Rhinolophus ferrumequinum: one gene and its partner. The protein of the gene in region 1 interacts with the protein of each later gene in a pairwise test. Links are inferred from orthologs where the notes say so. Each region holds a gene or a part of one and is shown in the gene's direction. Other genes may lie near its edges.

Region 1 (11,354 bases):
CATAAGGCCTATTCTCGTGGTTCTTATACTCTAGTGTGGAGAAAGAAAATAAACAAATTAAAAACAGCTACATATATGCTATTTTATTCATTCATTTAAAATGGGCAAGCACTACTCTTGATGCTGGGAATTAGTAGTGAACAAAACAAAGTTCCCTGCCCTCTGGAATTTATGCTAAGGTGGCAGAAATTAAAAATTAAATAAACATATGTGCTAATTATTGAAGGAATCCAATGGCTGCTCATAATAGAAGGTAACTCCTAACAACCACAATTCCTTAGGAATGAAGAAATAGAGATGCCTTTAAGTAGAGCAAAAATCACATTGTTATTGTAATTCAGGTCCAGGCTGCAGAAACTCTTTAATTTTTTTACTCTCTTGTGAGTATAGGTTAACTTCTTCTAACTTGCCTTGAAATTTCTAATACAAAGCAGCAGATGGCACTATCACCTCATTCACTCTCGCCTGATTTTGCTAAATCTTTTTTTCTTTCTTTCGTTTTTAATTAATTAATTATTATTATTTTGTTTAAAGTAGAGTTGATATACAATCTTATATTGGTTATGTTAACTTCAGGTGTACAATATAGTGATTTGACACTTTTATACCTTACAAAGTGATCACCCCACTAATTCTCATAATCATCTGTTACTGTGTGAGACTTATCCCAATATTATTGACTATATTCCTCTTCCCCTTTACACCCGTCCTCCTACTTTCTTCCTTTGGTCTCTGTTTCTATGAGTTCTGTTTTTGTTTTGTTTGTTTCTTTAGATTTGTTTTTATATTCCACATATAAGTGAAACCATACAGTGTTTGTCTTTTTCTGCCTGACTTCTTTCACTCAGCATAATACCCTCTAGATATATACATGTTTTTGCAAATGGCAAGATTTCCTTCTTTTTTATTGATGTGTAATATTCTCTTGTGTATATATACCACATCTCCTTTATCCATTCATCTATCCATGGACACCTAGGTTGCTTCCATATCTTGGCTATTGTAAATAATGCCGCAATGAATATAGGTGTGTACAGACCTTTGCAAATTAGTGTTTTTGTGTTCTTTGGATAAATACCCAGAAGTGGAACTGCTGGGTCAGATGGTATAACTATTTTTAGCTTTTTTGAGGAACCTCCATACTGTTTTTCATAGAGGCTGTACCAGTTCGCAGGCCCACCAACAGTGCACAAGGGTTCCCTTTTCTCCACAGCCTTGCCAACACATTTGCTTTTTGACTTTTTGATAATAGCCATTCTGACTAGTGTGAGGTGGTATCTTGTTGTGGTTTTCATTTGCATTTTTCTGATGATTAGTGATGTTGAGCACCTTTTCATGTCTGTTGGCTATCTGTATGTCTTCTTTGGAGGAGGTAGCATGGTCCCTGATCTCAGACTATACTACAACACTATAATAATAAAAACAGTACTGGACTGGCACAAAAACGGACACATAGATCAATGGAATAGAAAGAGAGCCCAGAAATAAACCCTTGCTTATATGGTCACTAATCTATGACAGAAGAGGTAAAAATATACACTGGAGTAACAACAATCTCTTCAACAAGTCGTGTTGGGAAACTGGATAGATACAAGAACATGCAAAAAAATGAAAGTGGACCACTGTCTTATACCATATACAAAAATAAACTCAAAATGGGTCTAAAGACTTAAATGTAAGGCCTGAAGCCATAAAACTTCTAAAAAAAAACACACACACAGGAAATAAGCATCATTCTGAGTAATACTTTTTTGGATATGTCCCCTTGAGCAAGGTAAACAAATGCAAAAGCAAACAAATGAGACCAAGTCAAATTAAAAAGCTTCTGTGCAGTGAAAGACACCTCAACAAAACCAAACGGCAGCCCATTGGATGTGGGACTATATTCACAAATGATATATCCAATAAGGGGATTATATCCAAAATATATAAGAAACACATACAACTCAATAACAAAAAAAATAAACAATCCAATCAAAAAATGGGCAGAGGACATAAATCTTTTTGATTAATTCATACTGACTTAGTTCAGATCACACACCACCAGGAATCTAATATTTTCGTTTCCTGTACCCCTCCTATTCACCATCCAAGGATCCCAACAGAGATTTAAGACCCGTCATCATTTCACTGGTGAGGAAACAAGAAGAGAAAAATTAAACAACACAGCTAAAGTCACTCAGTCAATCAGTGATAGAATAAGGAGCAACAGGACAACATGATACATTTATTAGATATAACATGGACTTTGAATTTAGAAGTTCTGACAATAACTTGAAGATATTACCCCCCATGCAATCCAATTTCCTTATCTTGAGTTGTTTCCCATCTTAAAAAAAAATTAAAAGGAATGAATGAATGAATGAAATATACCAGGTGAATATCTTCCAAATATTTGATGGGTTCAATTTTTTTTTTTAAATGAAATTATGTATGAAATTCCCGCATATAAAACAAGCAAAATCAGAGATTCTCTGGTTGTATCAATACTGGGGCAATCTAAAGACTTTCTTGTTTGGTCTGTCGTGCTTCACCTTTGGCTATAATTTTTCTTCCTATAAAAGAAAATGCTGAGTTTAAGTTTAATGCACAAAAAAATAAATAAATAAAACATAGTCAACATATTCAACCAAAATATGGATGGCCCATGTAATAAAAAGCAAATGCAAAAGAGAAAGAAGAGTCACTGTGGTGGAAGAAAGAGAGACAATGGCACATATAACTTAAAACAAATATACAAACAAAAAAACAGCTCCCACTTAAAAATAATAACCACCATTCTTCATTTTCCCCTGTTCTTCTAAGGCAATTTAAAGATAAGTTGGTTGTGATTTGGGACTAGAACTTGGAATTACCTAGAGTTTATTTCTTAGTTCACAAGAAGCATAATTGTTTGTTTTCTTGTCTATTTCCCCCAGTAGATAGGACTATTGAGACACTGCCCAACACATTGGATACAGAATACCAACGGAAATAGAATGCTTGTCCTTTTGGAGTTCAAAAACCAAATCAGACAATAGAACTGGGTTATTTTATGTTATAATATATGAAGGTAGTTATACATGTATTGTACATATGGTATTACTTTTTAAGTACTTTCATTTATTTTTACACATTCATTTATATATCAACCCAACATATATTTATTGATAACCTACAATGAATCAGAAGTTAGTTTAGGTACATGGGATATATCAGTGACCAAGACAAGCGATATTCTTAACTCATGGAGCTTACAAACATGTGGATGGGAGACTAATCATAAACAGTTGAGATATACAAGTTCTGACAATTATGTTCGCAAACTCACCCTAGAAAAAGTTCTACATACCTCATTGCTGAATATCACTACGGTCACCTGCAAAATATTCCCCTTGGGAAACTATGCACCAATACCAGCGCCTAATCCACGCTTCAAAGCAATTTTGGAACTCTTTTTATGGAATGGCCATCAGAGCTGTCATCGTATTATCCTTGATGTCCTGAATGTCATCAAAATGTCTTCCTTTCAATATTTCTTTTACCTTCAGGTAAAGAAAGAAGTCATTGGGGGCCAGATCAGGTGAGTAGGGAGAGCGCTCCAATACAGTTATTTGTTTACTGGCTAAAAACTCCCTCACAGACAGTGCCGTGTGAGCTGGTGCATAGCTGTGATGCAAGAGCCATGAATTGTTGTCATTTTCATCTTTTTCACGCAGCTTTTTCAGCACTTCCAAATAGTAAACTTGGTTAACTGTTTGTCCAGTTGGTACAGATTAATAATGAATAATCCTTCTGATATCAAAAAGGTTAGCAACATCGTTTTGACTCTTGATTTGGACTGACGGAATTTTTGTGGTTGTGGAGAATTGGCTGACTTCCACTGCGCATTTTGACACTTTGCTTCAGGGTCATATTGATACACTAATATTTCATCACCAGTTATAACACAGCCCAACACATTGTCTTGCCTTTCCTAAAGGTCTTGGCAAACTTCGACTCTCCTTTGTTTTTGTTCATTGGTGAGCATCCTTCAGGATCATTTTGCACACGCATATCTCATGCCAAGATTTTCAGTTAAGATTTTTCTAGCTGTTTCTCTATCAATGTTTACTTGGTCTGCTGTGCTTTTCACAGTCTGCCGATGATTTTGATGCACAATTCAATGAATATTTGCAATGTTTTCATCAATTCTGCTCATTACTGTCCACCCTGGCCTCTCTTCATCAGTGACACGTTCTCTCCCCTCAGAAAAACATTTAATCCATTTGCACACTGCTTTTCTTCATGGCACTATCCCCATAAACTCAGACTAATATGTCCCTGATTTCACTTCCTTTCTTGCCAAGTTTAACAAGAAATTTAATGTTTGTCCGTTGCTCTAATTCAAGCGCAGACATTCTCATGATGGCACACAAAAACATGCAACAACAATAATGAAGGCGACTCAGCAAGACACCGCCACATGTCGGCACAAACACAGCTGTGAGACACTGATATAAGAAGGTTATGAAAATTTCTTCAAGGACCTGAGAGCCATCTCTTTGAATGCAAACAATCAGGGAGTTAGGGACATACCTCTTGCTCTCCCAGTTCCTGTGGGAGGATAAGAGGGTGTAACGTCAGTGGGAGCACCACCCAGTTTCAACACCACTGCCTCCTGTCATGAGGATAGTTTTTTTCTCTTCTGGATATGCATCAGTTAACAAATCCAGATGACGTCACATGAATTAATTCTCACCACCCCCCTTAAGGAGATTCAGTGCCTTTTCCTGAGCTCACCCAAGCCTTTAAAAAGTCTTCAGTCCTTTTTTTTTGGAGAAGTTGAGTTTAGTTCATGCTTGGTCCTCTTCTCTGTTGTAATAGCACTACTGAGGGACATCTGTCCTCATTGCTTCAATGTCAGATATCTCCTTCATTCTGTTCACTTTAGTCTTGTAAATGGGTCGGATACATCACTAGTTTCCAGCAAGGATAACTGTTTTCCATATCTCCTTAATTGGGGCATTACAATAGCAATTGGATGAGAGAGAGAGAAAAATCAAACATTTAACATAATATTTCAGTCCCAGAATTCTTCATAAGCAGTTACTAGCAATATAGGCGGACAGAATGGTGAAAGAGGCAGTTTCTGAAAAAAAAAAAGATCATGAATTGTGCAGAAACAGTAGATTTTGGTTTGATTCCTTCCTTCAATGTTTTTATTAGCTTCTTAAAAGTGAGCAAGGGACTAAAATTTCTGTGTCTTATCTTCGTCATTTAAAAGAAGGACAAATAATACCTACCACAAGGACTTGTTGGAAAATTAAGATTGAATGAAAAAAACATGTGCACAGGGTAGTACCTACCTCATGGTAATTGTTTAATAAATAATTACTACTTTTTATTATTAATCTCTAACAAATCCCAGAAAAGCTTTGTTTCCTCTCTGTGTCGTTACAGCAATGTCCCTCTTTATGGCATCCTTCATATATCCATCTGTGGATTTACTCTATGAAACAATGAGCTCCTTCACAGGTATCATTTTTTCTTGTATCCCCAGCTCCTGCCAATTGAAAAGACGGGCATTTGACAAATGTTTAGTGAATGACTGAATACATGAATAAATGAAGGAATGTGTAGTTATAGTGAAGTAATGGTAAACTTAAGGTACCAAAATTTTTTTTACATTTGTATAGGCCAAGTCAATTAATGATGTCAAATTCAGTTGTAAAAATAATGAAAACAGCATAAGATGTCAATCTTTTCATATTTCTTTTATTTGGTCTGAAACAAAGCCCAACCTGTTATGAGACCTTATAATTTCCTTAAGAGTCATCAGTCTCAGAAACAGGATCTAAAGGTACAAATGGGAACTTAACACAGCATCGTCTCCATTTCCTGCTTTTGGATAACTGGTAGGACTACTTAAGCTCAAGTTGTTAAAGCTCAGTAAAGGCCTATCCCACGTGATTTGACTCATAGATCCTCTTTTGTTCACAAGGAGTTGTCTTGGAAGAGAGGAAAGAGCTCTCAAATGCTCTGTCAATTCAGGAACGCAATAGAACAATGGAATATCACCCTGACTTAGAAAATTTGGATGAAGATGGATATACTAAATTAGACTTCAGCTCTCGAAATGTCCCCAGGAGACCTGTGTTCTCAGAGAAAGGTATTTTTTCTTTATGCCTTCAACATTTTCATTCTCATCAACTAAAAACTTAAGTGGAGAAAACTTGAGAGGCTTGTGATTTGTGGGGATTTTATTACTACATTTTAAAAGTTTTTCAGAAGTCACTGAAGATAATTTGAATGTGCACTAAGACATTTTTCATGGCAACCATTCAGTGGCTAATTAATAGTGTTTAAATTAATTATGATGATGACAGAAAATACAATGTGTCTGTTCCATAGAAATAGAAACTTCTGTAGTGAGGAGTTGGTAATACGTATGACGAATTGCAAAGATGAAAGAATTTCAATAGGAGTGGCTTATTGCTTGTTTGATAGAAAGGTCTAAATTGTAGAATGGAAGTTCAGGAAACTTAAAGAAGTATATTAACAATATCAGGATACTGGAGATGAGAAAGAGAAGAATGAAAAGAAGAAAGATAGGTGAGGGAAAAAAACAAACTTGTGATTTTGTGGTAAAGGCCAAAGGGAAGTCAGAAGTCATAGGATTTATAATCCCAAATTTGATATGTGTACTGTGGTAAGAGCTTGATTTGGATTTTTTTAAACAAAAAGCAATTCTTCATATACCAGTGAATAAAAATATATGTTATAGATGAAAAGAATTTATTAGCAGGACATGAGTCTTAAACAAAACGTAAAAATGATATATGGAGAATAGTGTTAAAAGATTTCTCTCCTCATAAAATGAGCCATTTAGTCTCCTTTATGATTCTCCTATTTGACAACTCTGAAATGTTGTTACTGCTTATTCTCAGTCAAAGGCAAAACTATGTTCTTGGTGGTGATGTTAACATAAATTAGACCCCTGTTATCAAGAGAGATTATTCATAGGTTTTGACATCAGTTTGCTCTCTTCTGCTTTCTGGTAGTTCACATTGCACAATTATTTTTCTCTCACCACTTACGCAATACTTTTCTTGGGTAACCTTTTGGGGGAGAGTGGAAAAATTGGATAATGCAAAAGGTAGGGAGGCGTGCATGTGTTTATGCATAGGTGTGGACAAACCTGTAATGTGCTAGTCATCTCTGAACTGGGTGCTTTTACATGTGTTATCTCATTTAATTCCCACAATAATCCTTTGAAGTATTATTACCCCAATATTGTACAAAGAGAAATGGAAAAACAGAAGAAGTAATTTGCCCAAGATCATGCAACAAATAAGTAAAAAGGGAAGATTACCCTTAGTCATCAGTGTTATTTCCCCTGTATTTCTGCTGTATCTTCCAAGAATGAGTGGGATTTCATGAATCCTGGTGGTGTGAGTTGTAGAGCCATCAATGTGGAACTGAAATCAGGAGTGCATAGTTATCAACTCACTGAAATCAGGAGTGCATAGTTATCAACTCACTCAAATTACATTTCCAGAACCTGAAGACGAATGCTGAAGTTGGGGGAAAATTCAGACTAATTCTGGATAACTGGAGTATCTGGTTATCAGTGATTAATGGTTCACTTCAGAATTTGCCAGATTTTAATGAATTATAGAATTTAAGTACTCCACAATCCATTGTCTTATTTCTTCATTCAATTTCTGCTCTGTCTGGTCTTCAGGATATTGTGGGATATCTCACTGGCGTTCCATTGCTGTGATTTTGGGAATCCTATGCTTGATAATACTGGTGATAGCTGTGGTCCTGGGTGCCACGGGTGAGTATTGCTGGGGAAGATTAACAAGAAACATTTAATAAGCATTTATAATATAGTAGACAATTTTTTAAAAGCTTGGCATGCATAATCTAATTTAATCTGTATATTAACCCTATTGAATTGGTGTTATTAATTTCCAGTTTATTAATAAGGGAAGTGAGAGCCTGGGAATTTATTTTACTTTTCCAGGATCATAAACTAGTTAGTGGTAAGACCACAATTAGAAATTTAGGACATCTGTCTGAAAAATTCAGACTTTTAAGTACATTGCTCTATTACCATCCTTGAATGGCTGATTTCAAAGCTGTAGAATTCCCAGGATAAATTAATGGAAGAAAACTAGTAAAGGTTAAGATGGAAGTATATTTTGGTGCTAGCTTCCTAATAAAACAAATGCCCTAAAGAGACTATAAGCTATTTTTATGAATCTCATGATTTAAGGAAACTATTTTAAACCTCATCTTTAATCTAAACTCCTTTGGATTATACCAGTTACTTACCTGAGGCACTTACTAAATACTAAGTACATATTTTGTGATTAATGAATGACTTTCCTTAGATTTTATATCTCAAGCATTCTATTGTCAATAAAGTATTATTGTGCTCTCAGGGAGTCTTTATTAGATTCCTTAATTATTCAAATGTTTATTGGGTACAGTCTATGTTATAAGTACTGGACAGGTTTTCAAGGAGCTCTCATTTTTAAAACACAGAGAAAGGTAGAAAATTTACTATAATTTCAAATCTATCATGGCTCCAATTAACTCTATTCTATCTGTCACTTGCTTTCTCCTTAATACTTATTCTCCTTCTCAACCTGCTTCATTTTTCTCTTTTTTACTATACCGTCCATGTGGAAGTTATTTTTTTCTATCTATTTAATCTATCTATCATCTGTCTATCTATCTATCTATCTATCTATCTATCTATCTATCTATCTATCTATCTACCTACCATCTATATATATATATATATATATATCTGTCATGCGGGGTATCACGTGGGGTCTCAGCTCCCGCTCAGGTGCTACCTGAGCCAGCACCTTTCCACATGAGGCCGAGAGCCTGGAAACTGCACCCCTGGCTTTGTCCCCACACTGTCCATCTATCTATCATCTCTCTGTCTTTACCCCTCCATCAGCAGTGTATTACCTATTAATCATTAATCAAGAATGCATCTCTTTATATTACAACAAAAATATGGGTTTGGGGATTTTAATTTTCAAACATAGTAAAATGATTTTTTGTTGTTGTTGTCATTATTGTTGTTGGTGGCATGTGAAGGTATGTGGAGATCCAATTCAGGAAGCAACTCATTGAAGAATGACAATTTTCCGTCAAGGAATAAAGAGAACCACAGTCAATCCACACAATCATCTTTAGAACAGAGTGTGGCTCCTACCAAGGCTCTCAAAACCACAGGCAAGGGCAGAGTTAAATGATTAATGGAATTCTGGATTCAGAAGAGTTAATTATTGGTGTTCCAGCCTAGAGCGGGGGTGGGGGGTGGGTGAAGAGAGCACTTTTACATGATTGTGCATTCAAGGAAAGCACACATCAGTATTATCTCACTCTAATATGCCCCTGTCATATATACAATAAAGTGATATCATAGATACCCTCATGTACTTGGCCGGACAGTTCTAAGTTGTATTTTTTTTTTTTTTCAAATCAGTAACTATTCTTGGCTGTGTGTTTAGGCATACAGGAGATTGTATAACTTGAAATGTATTCTCTGCCCTTAAGTTACTGATATTTTAAGGTGATACAGTAAGAATAAGAAATAGCATATCAGAAAGGAAGAGAGGGAGAGAAAAAGGAAAGGACAAATGTTGATAAGGATTAAGAGGTTAAATTAAACACATGCAAAAGAAATAGACCTAATAGATGTCTTCCTAAAAACTCTGGTTAAATTTGTTTTCTTTAATCATATAATTTTATTTATTTCATTACAATTTTATATACACTTACCTTTATTTCTAATGGCATCATGATTGACTATGATGATATTTTGACTTCAGTTTTCCATCTCTGGACCCATACATCTTCATTATATGTATCAAATAATTAATACAAATCAGAGATACTCTATAATGTAAATAATTACTCTTATACTTTTTTCATTTGGAAAATTGCATTCTAAAATGGATCTTACACCTGTAAAATAAATTAACATGAAATTACTGTATACCTTAATGATTGATTTTGAGTTGATTTATTTTAAGACTTATCAAGAAAGGGAGTTCTGGGCTGAATTCAAGGGAATGGAAGACAAGTCAAGAAGGAAAGGAAGGTCGACTGTGTATAACACTTTTATAGTTACTCAATTTTAAATGAATGGGGATATTTTAATGTGGTTTCTTTTGTAAAATCATATCTCTATAGTTTTAATTGAAAATGAAATATATTAATGGCAATTTGTTGATTATTTATTGTATCCTATGGATGTATGGTGCTTGCACTGACAGAGTGAAGTGGTATAATATGAATCTCATCATATTTATCTTTTATTTCCAGGAGTTCTTTCCAGCTCTTGTCCCCCTAACTGGGTTATACATGAGAACAGCTGTTACCTATTTAGCACACCACTGGATACCTGGGAGGAAAGTAAAACACAATGCTCTCAACAAGGCTCTAGTCTACTGAAGATAGATAGCTCAAATGAATTGGTGAGTGCAGATTTCAGTTATGATTATCTGTGGTCTATATTGAGCAGAAAAATAGAGTTAGATTCCAGGTAATTATAATTTTCCCTAAAAGAAAGTCACTTTTAATATCTCCTTAATTATATTGTAATAATAGCATGCATTAAGCAGGCTAAAGTATATTTTATATGCTTTTCTTTTTAATTAATTAATTAATTAAAAATAAACACATTTCATTTTAAAACAAACCTTTTCAAACACACTGCAAATCTGTATGACTAATAATAATCAGGCCACTACTCATTTTTGTGGGTTTGGATTTCAATTCTTAAATTTGGTGGAGTAAAATAGAAAATTGTCCTACTTGTCATCATAATTATTAAGAAAAATAACAGCAATGCTAATACACATTTATAAATCATTTACTCCTTGCAGGATACTTGGAATGGTAAACAGATTTAAAAAGTAAACTTATTATTGCATTGCATATATAATTTGTAAGAAAAAATAAACACCTCAACAGCTGTTAAAAGTTAAATATTTGGTATTGCCAATAAATGTGATAGGAATTTAGAGAGAGAGAGAGAGAGAGAGAGAGAGAGAGGGAGAGAGAGAGAGATTGATCTGTGGACATAAAGTTTTACAGAAAAAGTGGGACTTACAATGCATTATGAATGAAGTATAGAACTCAGATGGGCTATGAGTAGAGGGTAATAATCAGGAAAGAGCAACACTGTAAATCTAAACAATCTATAACTTCTACATTTACTTCCACTACTCTCAATTTTTTTGTTTCTGTCCTGTCATACCCAACAGTTGTAGTTCAGATGAAAATTAATGGAAATAGATGTATGGCAAAGAAAAAGAAAAGGACCCAAAGCCTATCTGGCTCTTAGACCTTCCTGTAAT
Region 2 (11,951 bases), on another chromosome or scaffold:
CCACGACTCACTTTTAGTTAGGAATTTTTACATTCAGACCATACTGTGTGGTTCTTTTCAGTGTCTGATTTGTAGGGTTCACCATGCAGGGTTCCTCTGAGCTCGTCTGGCTTAGTATATATGGTCCCTTTTTCGTCCACACTATCATTAAATTAATAATGTCTTTTCATATCTTCCTGCAAAACTTAAAAATTTTCTTTGTCTGTATCTTGAACATTTCTTAAGTTCTTAGATATTCTTAGATATGTTTTGTTGTCACTCTTATGAGATGTTTTCCATTTTCAAATTGGTCACTGCTAGCCTTTAAAAAAGCTATTGATTTGTGTATGCTTACCTTATGACACACATTATTAAATTTTTATTTGTTCAAAGACTTTCTCCATTGATTGTCCTGAATCTTCAGAGAAACAATTTTATTATTCTGTGTTAATCCACTGCTTTAATTAACAGATACTAACTGAACCCCTGCTGCCTGCCGGGCCTGCCCTCAGGGAACCTACCTGGGGGGATGAGGTGGGTCAGTAGTAGCAGTCTCGCCTCCTCCTTTTTGGTGTTGTGAAATTTTCCTTCCTCCTTCCTGTCTTCTGGCACGGCCTCAGACCTCAGAGCTCGGGCTGCTGACAAGCCCCTGGCCTGCTGCTGACTTCACGGGGATGCCACGGTGTCACCCATCGTGGGCTTCAGGTGCGCTACTTTTACCAGGGCGGTGTCTCTGTTGTGAGTGTAATAGAAGCCAGCTTGGAGTGCCGGGAGAGGAGAAGGGATTTCCTGATGGGTTCTGGAGGGCTCACAGAGTTGCTGTTTTGAAGGCCCAAGTCCTAGCCTTGAAACATGGGCAGGAATGAGGGCAGCTACACAGTGGTACGCCTGGTCCCAAGGATGGATGGCTGGCACTCTGGGCGCTGGGGCCCGGCACCTCCTGCTGGGTGCTGGGTGCTGGGTGCTGGAGGCTGCTCTGGTATTTCCGTTTCTCTAGACCAAAAGGCAGGACGTCACGCAGCGTGCAGGGCTTCAGGTGAGGGCAAGGAGGAAGGAGCCCACGTCCCCCCACTGCCCTCTCCCCCGCCCAACTTACTAAGTTTGTTTCTAGCGTGTGTTCATGTCAGAAATGCACATGAAATTATTTTTGCTTCTAAAATGATTATTTTTAGTCTTTGATCTGTCAGGTATTTTTTAAGATCCTCAAGCTACTTTTTCTTCTTTAATCTTTTGTTAAATATGTGGTCAAACCATCCCTACCGTCCCAGGAGAGAACTTACATGGTTGTAATGGATTCGTCTTCTGTTTGCTGTCAGTTCAGTCAGTACTTTTCCATGCATATTCCTAGGTGACTATAGCTCAATATTTTGTTTCCTACTATGAAAGCATGATGCGAAGTTAGAATCAGGGTTGTACCGACCCCATAGAATGAACTGGTAAAATCTCACTATTGACTACAGCCTGAAAGCACACGGAAATGCTCCCCGATCTAAAGGTTGGGCAGAAACTTGTAAAACTGCCTGAGCTCTGTCTCTGGGGAAATCAGACCGTCAGCCACGTGCCAATCACTTCCACTGCTTCAGAGGCTCTCCTTTCCTGAATCAACTTTATATTTTCCTGAAAAATAATTTTATTCAGGTTTCTTTTTTTAACTATAAAAGTGTATATGATTTTATATCATATTTTAAAATTTCCTCTGAATTTATAATCAGATCCTCATGTAGTGCTCAAAATGTCATTTATCACCAAAGATTTGAAATTAATGAAGGCAAATATGTTTTCTAACTCATTAATTTTGCTTTAATTTTTATTAATTTTATAATAATGTTACAAATGTATTAATTTCTTTTATTTAGGGTTTTTTCCTAGCTTTTTAAACTACCTAGTTCATTTCTTTTATACCTTGTCCTAAAATGCATTTAATACTATACATTTTCATACGAGTGGCATTTAATATATTGTTTTTAATAAATTTTATTTTTATGACTAATTTAGAACGACAGAAAAATGATGAATCCAATAGTAGAGTGAGTTCCCACACACCCTACACCTAATTTGCCGTTATTAACATCTTACGTGAGTAAGACTTATGCTAATCAGATTTCCTCAGTTTTTCCCTACTGTCCTCATGTCCCAGGATCTCAGTTTTGAGACTCCTGTCTCCTTGGGCCACTGTTGGCCATCGCCGTTTTTCAGGGTAGGCCAACTGGAGCAGATCTTCAAGCCACGCGTTTTCTTTCCCATTTCCCACTTGCATTTTCCTTGATCCCCAACTCTGACTGGGGGCTCCTCAGGCTTCCCCTGGGCAGCCTGACCCACCCTGTCTGCTATAACCTTCCCCGGGGCACTAAGCAGCTTTACAGTGACGCTGTTGGAAGTTAGGCCTCAGGGCTCCCTGGGTGGGGACATGAAATGATGGAAGTTGCTGGGACCTGTTAACGTAAGAATGTCCAAACCTGTAGATTACTTCTTATAAAAATGTATTTGGGCCAAACAGAGGATACACCTGGAAGCAAGATCTCAGCAGACTGAGATAAATGTTTGGAGAATAAGTTTGCAGTTTCTTTTATGCATATGAGATTAGGAAGGAACTAAGGAAGATTTCAAGGAGGTGGGAAGGAGCAAGGCGGGGATTGGATTACAGGACAGTTAAGATTACAGTGCTCTCTTGAGGGTGGTTCTGCTTCTTTCAAAGGCTGTTAACCTGGATGCACAGAAACAATGGACAGGGCTGCTTACAGCAAAGAGAAACCTTTTGCTAAAGAAGTTACAGACCTGGGGTGGGACTACTCACCGCGACCTGCCCTGCCCGTTAGGAATTTGTGATCAGATCACTCTGAGGTTACTTTCCGTGGAGCTTCTTCCCCCCCCCCCCCACAGACTGGTAGAGTGTTCTAGATGGGGAGGGAAAATCAGGTTGCAAAAAGAAACATTTCCATTTAAACATTTCTGGGTCATCGGCCTAGAGAGACTTAGAGGGCTTATGAAATGTACACGTTCCGGTGAGCTTAGCAGGTTGAGGGGTGAGGAGACATACAAAAGTCCGTGATCATTGTACATATTAGCAATAAAAAAATCAAACGAAATTTCACAATATGGTAACATTAGAAATAGGCCTATTTAGGGAATGTCTGTCAAGTGCGCAGACGCTGTACACTGAAGAGCACAGAACCTGCCGAGAAGTGAGAACACCTGAACAGCGGACAAGCAGCCTGCGCTCAGGGGTTGGGAGACGGGACAGCTTCCCCAGTGATGCTTCCCCAGGCAGTCGTCCCAGTAAAGGGCCCAGAGAGAAGAGGCAGGCGTGGGCACATTCTATGAGGGGACGTGCCATTTGTGTCCGTGTGGGGCAGCTGTGTCCCGTGCGTCCGCTGCTGCACCCATCCTGAACACTGCAGTGACAGGGGCGCTTGGAAAAGACTTGCTGAATAAAGGAGAACTAACGTTTGAATGGAAAGAAAGGCCAGAACCTCTACATCCAGAAAGAAGGCTAAGCTTAGTGCCCCTCTCAAGGGCATCCTTACCTAGAATGGAAACAAAGACACCCCCCCCCAGGTGAGGACAGCAGGGGCTGCTGCCCCAGAGCGTGCTTGGCACCCGTCCCCGTCACTGGGTTTGGCAGAGACCCAAAGGCAGGCAGGGGAGTGGGAGACTTCACAGTGGAAAGGGAGGCTCCAGGTGTGTCCCCATGGAGGCTGGGACCGGAAAGCCTGGAGCAGGGGACACCGAGATTGGTCAGGGCGGCGTCTGGCTTTCTGTGGTGGGTCCTGAGCTGGCAGCGGGGACAGAAATTGGGGAAGCTGTCAGTTATGGATCAAGTCCGGCCGTTTGGGGCTGACTGTTACAGGGCTGCTGTGTGGCTTCCAGTTGCTAGAGACACTGGTCTCACTTCCTGCCAAGAGAGGAGGCTGGGCTCCTGGTTGGTCACTGCAGGTGAGGGGCTGCTGCCTGGCTGGTGGCCGCGGGTGTGTCTCAGTTCTGTCTTCACAGATGGCTTAGCCCCGGTGTGTTTCCACGCAGTCCACTAGCGAGCCCTGCGGTCCTCGGCTGTCCGGTTTTCGCATTGCCCGGTGTCGAGTTTACTGCCTTTACTGTGTTGGAGGGAGAACAGCAAACTCAGCAGCGTTAAAGACAGCCCGGGGGCCTCAGCGTCCAACCCGGCCCGCGCAGCCGCACGCCCGTGCTCACCTGCACCTCGCCCGCGTCCACCGGTGGGACGCGCGTCCGCCGCGAGCTCCGTCCGCAAGGCGCCCAGGCCTGGCGGGACCAACAGGTACTGAGCCCCTCCCACGGTGCCCCGCCTCTCCAGCAGTTTAGCCCCGCCCACCCGGACCCCGCCCCGCCCACCCCGGGCCCCCGCCCCGCCTGCGTACGCACGCCCCGCCCCTCAGACCCCGCGCACGAGCGCTCGGATCGCCAGGCGACGCCTCTGCTCCACCCCGCGCACGCGCCGCACGCGCCGCACGCGCCCCGCGCGCCCCACGCCCTGCGTACGCGCAGGCCCCTCCTCGCGGCCAATCGGCGACGCCGCCGCTTTTCCGCTGTTTATCTGCGGTGCGTCTGCCGGCGCGCGTCAGTCAGTCGGGGTCCTGGGCTGACGCCGCTGTAATTGTTGGGCCCGCGCTCGTGCTCCAGCTGCCGCCGGTCTTCTTTGCAGCGCCCGGCGCCCACCCGATCCCGGCCCGGCGGCCGCTGCGCCCTCCTTCCGGCGCCATGTCGCAGAGCGGGACACCCGGACTACAGGAGGAGAGCCTGCAGGGTGAGCCTCGCGGGATCGGGGCGGGGAGTGCTGAGGGGAGGCCGTGGGGACGCGGGGACGCGAGTGAGGCGGGCGGGACCTGTCGGGGCCCCTTCACGGCGAGGCCAGGCCGCCGGGACGGTCGCCGGCGCGAGGCTGCGCCCACCTCGCGGGTCGTCCCTGCGCACGGCGGGCAGGTGGCGGCTGGCTGCCCGTGGGGCCAGGCGGCCGGCGGGGCCCCCGGGACGTGGGGGCCGTGCGGGGCCGTGTCCGGGGCGCACGGCTGCCGCGCCCGCGGACAGTGGATCCTGGGGAGGGGCCGAGCTGGGGGGTTGGCGCGGACGCCGGCCGAGGCCGGCGAGGAGCCTGAACTGTCCGGCTCGGGGCAACTGGAAGCGCCGTCTGCGAGTCGCGTCTCGGGTCCGAATGGCTTCTTCAGGGCCACGTTTCCACGTTCTGTGGTGAGACCAGTGGGTTTCAGGAGCAGAAGCCGGGTGTGACGTGGGCTTGCACGGGCGTTAGTAGTAGAGCGTGGAGCGTCCTGGCCGCCGGGACCGGTCGGAGGAAGGAGGGCAGGGGGTTGCCCGTGATGCAGACGGGCCCGCGGCCCCCGGCCGCGCTTCTCCGCGGAACAGATGGACGGTGCTCGGAGCAACTGCCGTGGGCTGCGGGCAGGCCGCTCTTTACGTTCGCCTGGGCTAGAGGGTCGTCCCCAGACAACAGGGATGTGCGGGCGGGAGAGTGGAAGCTGGAGGACCTGGGGCACCCGGCGCTGCCGCTCGTGCGCGGGGCCTTGGCGATTCCAGACCCGCGGGCGCGGAGGGTTGCTGTGCTGCTTCGTGGGTCGGTGGCAGCCGTGCGGTCCGCCCTCTGGCCTCGCGTCGGCCGCGCGGCCGCTCGGGGGGGCCCGGGAGCGGGGGAGGAGGAGCCCGCGCGTCACCTTTGCGTTCTCGGGGGCAAGAGTTGACTCGGCAGGAGGAGCGTGAGTAAGCGTCGGAGAGGACTGTTCAGACCTGAGCGTGAGCTTAAACCCTAACGTTGTTCAGATAAGTTCAGTGAGCTGCTAGGTTTTTTCTTAGTCCTTAAAGCAGCATTGTATTTTTATTAGGCGAGGCTGAATTAGCCTAATGCGTTGTGTGTCGTGTATTTTAAAAGTACAACCACTTTTTTTTTATTAGTTTCAGGTGTACAAAACAATGTACTAATTAGACATTTACATCCTTCATAAAGTGGTAACCCCCCCGTCTACTACCCCCAGTCCACTACCTCTCTGACATGGTGTGTGACTGTTACAATCCCATTGACTGCCTTCCCCATGCTGTAGTTTATGTACGTGTGCACACTTACATATATTTAATCATTGTTGACATTTTATATTATTTTACTTCGGCTGCAGATGTATATAGCGCAGCGGTCAGGCATCCACACAGTCCATGAAGTGATCCCCCTGATAAGTCCAGTGCCCATCGGGTACCTTCCATCATCTTTACAGCTCTGCCGGTTATATTCCCCAAACTGTACTTCGTGTCCCCGTGACTGTTTTGTGACTACCGGTTTGTTCTTTCTAATCCCCTCACCTGCTCCCTCATCCCCACCCCCCTCCCATCTAGCAACCACCACTTTTTTCTTTATATCTCTGAGTCTGTTTCTGTTTTGTTTGTTTATTCTGTTGTTTAGATTCCACATATAAGTGAGATCACATGGTATTTGTCTTTCTCAGTCTGACTTATTTCACTTAGCATAATGTTCTTTAGGTCCATCCATATTGCAAATGATAAGATTTCATTCTTTTTCATAGCCAAGTACAACCACATTTTTAAAATCCTGTAATCTCCTTAAATTTTGAAATTGACTGTTTTCTTTGAACTGGATTAAGGAATTAATCTTTTCTGTCTTTTTTCACGCAGGATCCAGGGGGTATTTCATAAACTCTTGGCCTTAGAATCATTCTTTTCCTAATTACCAAACTACTTAACTTCTGCCGCTGTGTTTCACTGGCTCAGATTTAGCCTCTGGAAGAGTTCTGAGCCCTCCAGAGGGGCTTCCTGACTGACACCAAACAGCTGAGTCACTGGCAATGCAAAATCACCAGCTCGTGAATTAAAAGATTTGCTTTGTGTTTTGCTTATTCTATAAAAAGATGGTTACACAGGGAGTGGAAACTCATGGTAAGGATTCCCGAGTGTACTAGTGTGTACGTGCTGTAGGGCACTCCACTTGCTCACCGTCCAGCTCCGGCTGGGAGGAGTCAGTCACTGGGCAGCTGCCCCACGAAATGTGAGCCGCATGGATTCTGGATTCGCTGGAGCAGGCGTGTCCTCCGTGTGCTGTTTTGATTTGGTTCCCTCTTGTTTACCTCACATGACAACTGAGAGCTTTGGTTGCCAAACTCCGACAGCAGCAAACGGTTTCCCCTTTGCTTGTATCTGGCACCAGGATGTTCTCCCCAAGGAGTGAACAGCAAAATGGATGTGTGTTCCCCCCTTTCCCTGGTCCATTCTAGTTAGAGCTGTTGACTTGCAAGGTGTTCTGTGCCTTTTTCTTCTTAGATGCACAACTGCTGACATGCATGTTGTTGTGTCACAGTGTCACGGGAGTGGTGCGTGGCTTACTTCCCAGAAGGCCCCCTTCTGAGCAGAGCTGCTCATGGGTGCAGGCGTCAGTTCAGTCAGTGCTCAGCCCTTTGCTCTGAGACGCCCCCACCCCTGTTACTGCTGTGTATGGGGACAGTGCTCGTCTTGGCAACTCACCACGTGGCAGCTCCCCACGGACAAAGGTGTATGAAGAGGAAAATAATTCATCTTTCCTGTGGAGGGGAATGTGGAGCTTGCAGTTTGGGAGTATAAAGGGGTTTCAGGCATTAAATCGTAGCCCAACCCCTGCATTTCATAGAGGGTTGCAGTGAGGCCAGAGGGTAAGTGATAACAGGTAAGGCAGAGTCAGGGGCTCCACGCTGAGTGCCAGGGGGACACCAGGAGCCTAAGTGACAGAGTGCATTAAACAGGACCCTGCCTGGCAAAGGAGAGCCACGCAGCTCCTGGTAGGAACCAGGAGCCAGAATGGTCTGTTCCAAATCACTTGGGAATGAGGTGTCTTGTCTGACGCTTTTACATTCCCCCTCCCTCCCCTCCCCTCCCCCCCACAGGGAAGAAGCCCTGCGATTGGCTGGTGCTCCCCCTGGGCTTGGCGACCGCTGGCCTCAGGCCTTCCGAGGATGCCCTGCCTTCTGGGACCTCCCTCCTCCCTGACACTGCTCCCAGTCTTACAGCTGCTTTGTTCCCGCGTCCTTCCCCTGGCCAGTTGGCTTCAACCCTGGCCCCCGCAACATTGCCATTGTAGACTTTTCAGAATATATTTCTGGAGTCCGTCCCAGCACTCCACATAAGGATATTCAGAGCGGTGGGCCAGGCTCCTGAGGAACAGAGTAAAAGCACCTCAGGTGAGTCTCCTTAGTCACGGTTGGGACCTGCTACCTCACACTAGGGTGTGGGTGGCCTTTGGGGCTCTGTGGGGTGCACCTGGGTATGTCGAGGGCAGTGTGGCCAGGCCAGCCTGGAGTCTTGCAGAAGGCAGGGACTGTGGTGGCACTTGGGTACGCCCATCTACCTTGTCCCGAGGCTGGCATTGACTTGCTGTGTGTGAGCCGGGCACGTCACAGTGGGTGTGGGGGAGAGGCAGCGGGCCTGCCCTCAGCAGCACCATCCGTTTTCTTCTGAGGCCTCAGGATTCCAGTTACTGGGCAGGTGATCTGTGCTTCTGAAGCAGCCCTAATCCCATCTTTCTTGCTTAAAAAGATGAGTGACCTTAACCAATTGCAGGATGTGAGTGGGTTAACAGCACGCATTTTCTTTTCCACGAAGAATGTTTTCCCACTTGTTGCAGGTTAATAATAAAACGCTTGCCCTTTAGTAAATCATTCCTGGGAATACAGCTTTTGTGCCCAAAGCTTTGCTGCAGACAGTCCAGAGTGGGATTTTTCTTCTTTCTCAATGATGCTTAGGACTTTCTATGAGATGATTCTAAAAAGCATGTACGTACTTGTGTCCATGGAGTCCCGAGTTGGCCCCTGTGACATAATAAAACACGTGTGTACACCTGAAACCAGTATGTCCTGTGTCAACACTGTATCTCAGTTAAAACAATTAGTGTGTGCTGGCACCGCTCTAACACTCGTGGGATCACTCGAGTGGCAGTAGTGCCTTTGTTATTCATGGAACCCCTTCTGCAGGGAACCCTCAGGGAGGCTCTGGCGAGCCTGGAGCCTCGGATGGGGTTGGGGAAGAGCCCCTTGTGATTAGAGGGTGGGAACCCAGCACCCAGCCCTTGCAGGGAGGGGACGGCTGGAGGTTGGGTTTTGAAAACTTTGAACAGCTAGGTCGGAGCGAGCTGGGTTGGTGAACACAGGGTGGTGCCCAGGTCAGGGCGCAGGGAAGCTCTGCCCCCGTGCCCCAGACCAGTGCTCTGTGCGTCTCCATTTGGCTCTTCCTGAGTTGTGTCCTTTCTAATAAATGGGTAAACACGTAGTGTTTCCCTGAGTGCTGTGAGTTGTTCTCGTGAGTTGACTGGACCTGAGTGGGGTGTTGTAAGGACCCTTGAATTGTGGTCTGCCAGGCAGATGTGTGGCTGACGTCTGATGTGGAGACAGTGTTGGCACTAAGCCTTTCAACTTGGGGGACCTGACAGCAGCTCCAGGTAGTGGCACCACTGAACTGAATTGTGGGACAGCTCGTTGGTGTTGGAGAATTGGTTTTTGCCGTCGAAACCCCACATGTGTTGTCAGAAGTGGAATCAGAAAAGCAGCACCTGCCTCGGACTCCGCCTACGTCAGACACTGAGTAGCACTGAAGCTTGGCCGGGCACATTGAGCCAGGCCCAGAATCTGAATAACAGGTTGAATCTAGAAAAACGGAACTGGGCCCAGCGTGGGGCCCATGCTGTTCCATGCCAGGGGCCCGAGCTGCCTTGCCAGCTGGCTGAGTGTGACCTTGAGTCCAGGGAAGGAGAGGGGGCTAGAGTTTTAATGCCGACGCCTCAGGGTGCGGACGGGCAGAGGACTCGGAAGGTGGTCGGCAGCCTGATGGACGTGGTCAGTCAGGCGAGCGGGCTCCGGAGTGCTGGTGCGGAGAGGGCCGAGCTCGAGGCCTCTGCTGGGTCAGAGGCTGGCTTAGTGGCCTGGCTCAGTGACCTGGTTCCGAGACCACCTCCTTCCTTGTGTTCGTGACGCACTTGTGCGGACCAGCTTGACAGGAAGCGACCTGAGAGGCTAAAGAGAAAAGTCACGTGTTAATCTGACAATGTGTGTGGTCATTTTGTTAGCAGCTAACTGCTGTCCAGGCTGCAGGTTCTCATCTATTCCTGGGCCCGTGATGGCTGGCTTCTCACTGATGATGTATTTCTTCTGCAGCTTTTTGAGCATTAGGCCAGGACCGGCAGAGCTGCCGGATGTGTCAGGGAGCAGCCGCCGGTGGTTCAGCCAGCGGGCGGTGATGGCCAACGGGCGCTGATGAACGGGCGCCTCCCACCCCCGTGTGGCGTCATTGGTGCCATGTTGGTTTAAGGACCGAGTGGCGGCTCTGGGTGACAATGACTGTAATAAGTGAGAGCGAGTGTAAGCCAGTTCATTGGGTTTCCGGGCTTCTGCAGTCTGCCTCCCCGCTCCCTCCGGCACCTGTCCTTCATGTGCCACCAGGGTGATCTTGGAGCAGGAGGTACCCTGGAGAGACACAGGCTTCCGCATAAAGTAGAAAACTGTCCTGGGCCCAACGTAGGCCTGTGCGTGCTGCCAGCTCGGTTTCTGACCAAGCTGCATGGCCGAGGGAGAAGCAGAGGCAGTCTCGTCAGTGAGTGGAAAAGCCAGACCTGTTTCAGGTTCCACCTACACGTGAAATCCGGGCTCACTGAACCTGGGTCGTCATGAGTGAAAACAGTACAGCTTTTTGGAAATAATACAGTAGAGTATCCTCATGGCCTCAGGCTAGGAAGAGACTGAAAATGTGACTGGATTAGAATCAGGAGTTTGTGCTCATCAGGAGACATTCAGGGTGAAAAGAGAAGCCATCGTGAAAGAGACCTGCAACACTCACGTGAAGAAAGGCTCGCGTCTGGAATATGGAGCTTCTGCAGACGGAAGGAAAGAGGAAGAGGTTTTTGCTATGCACATGGCCAGTAAGCGTGAAAAATGTTCGGCCTCAGTAGAAATCAGAGAAATGCACCGCAGACCACACAGCACGGAATGGATGGCTGAGTTTGAGGACTGACGGTCCCGTGTGGGAAGCTCCTTCGGGGCTGGTGGTGGTCCTGCTGCTTGTTACCCCCCAGGTGGGGCTGCAGAGGCGAGAGCACATGGGCGGATGGATGGACGGACGGACGGCTGGACGGAGAGAGAGGGAGGTGCTGTTCACAGCCGCTCGCCTGGAAGCCAGCTGCACGTCCAGCTGGGCAGACAGCGGCGTGGCCGCACCGTGGGCTCCTGGACGCAGCAGCAGAGCACGCCTGCCCACGGCCCAGTGCGCGCTAGCTGGCCCCTCGGTGCAACCCCAGGAGCCCTCACTGCTTTTGCCCTCAGGCCTGCGGGTGTCTGGGCCGCAGGCATGCGGGGGGCCTTTCTGTGTCCGGGGCACTTCTGTCCTTGTGTGGGATGGGCCACAGTGATTTCCATCCCCCCAGACACTTGCTCAGGGGCAAGAGCAACAGCCCTGGCCACCCCGCACCGCCTGGCACGGCCCTGTGTCGGGCTGTCTGTCACTCAGGCTGCCACCTCCGCGGGCTTCCTCTGCAGGGCTCAGCCCAGCCGCTGCCCGGTGCACAGCCGCCAGCAGTGTGTGCCCAGCTGTTGAGTGGCGTGGGCGTGTCCAGTGAACTCCAGGTGCTGGGTCTTCAGGGACAGATCCCGGCTTGGAGCAATGGCTTTACGTGCGGGCTTCGCGGTCGGTGGGGATGGGGAATGCTTTGGCGCTACGTGGTGGTAAGTAGGTGACCTGGTGCTAAGAAGACAGTTCTCTAAATCTGTAACATGTACCTGGGTGAAATAAATTTGTTCAGAACATGTAACAGACGTCAAGTTTTCGTTCAAGTAAGAAAGAATGTGGAGCCGACTTCCTGTAGCTTTGGCTGAATGCACGCCGAGCGTGGCTTGATGTGCTGGATCGGGGTTCGTCAGAAATGGCCTTGGTGGTGTTCAGAGTGTATTCATCTGGCTGCTGATGTCAGTAAATCCAGAGCAGCTGTCATGCCG

The links.
Region 2: the proteins of CLEC7A (region 1) and BNIP3 interact in binary tests that used the Homo sapiens proteins (3 or more experiments, as listed by UniProt). The two-hybrid records come from large-scale screens. The link is inferred for Rhinolophus ferrumequinum from reciprocal best matches to the Homo sapiens genes CLEC7A and BNIP3.

Annotation. Positions count from the first base shown.
Region 1 is NC_046293.1:25,857,547-25,868,900, reverse strand, and holds the start of CLEC7A (C-type lectin domain family 7 member A), read left to right. Parts: upstream 1-5,933; 5' UTR 5,934-6,027; coding exon 6,028-6,130; intron 6,131-7,705; coding exon 7,706-7,801; intron 7,802-9,084; coding exon 9,085-9,222; intron 9,223-10,317; coding exon 10,318-10,469; intron 10,470-11,354.
Region 2 is NC_046299.1:993,009-1,004,959, forward strand, and holds the start of BNIP3 (BCL2/adenovirus E1B 19 kDa protein-interacting protein 3), read left to right. Parts: upstream 1-4,535; 5' UTR 4,536-4,692; coding exon 4,693-4,738; intron 4,739-11,951. UniProt on the Homo sapiens protein: Apoptosis-inducing protein that can overcome BCL2 suppression. May play a role in repartitioning calcium between the two major intracellular calcium stores in association with BCL2.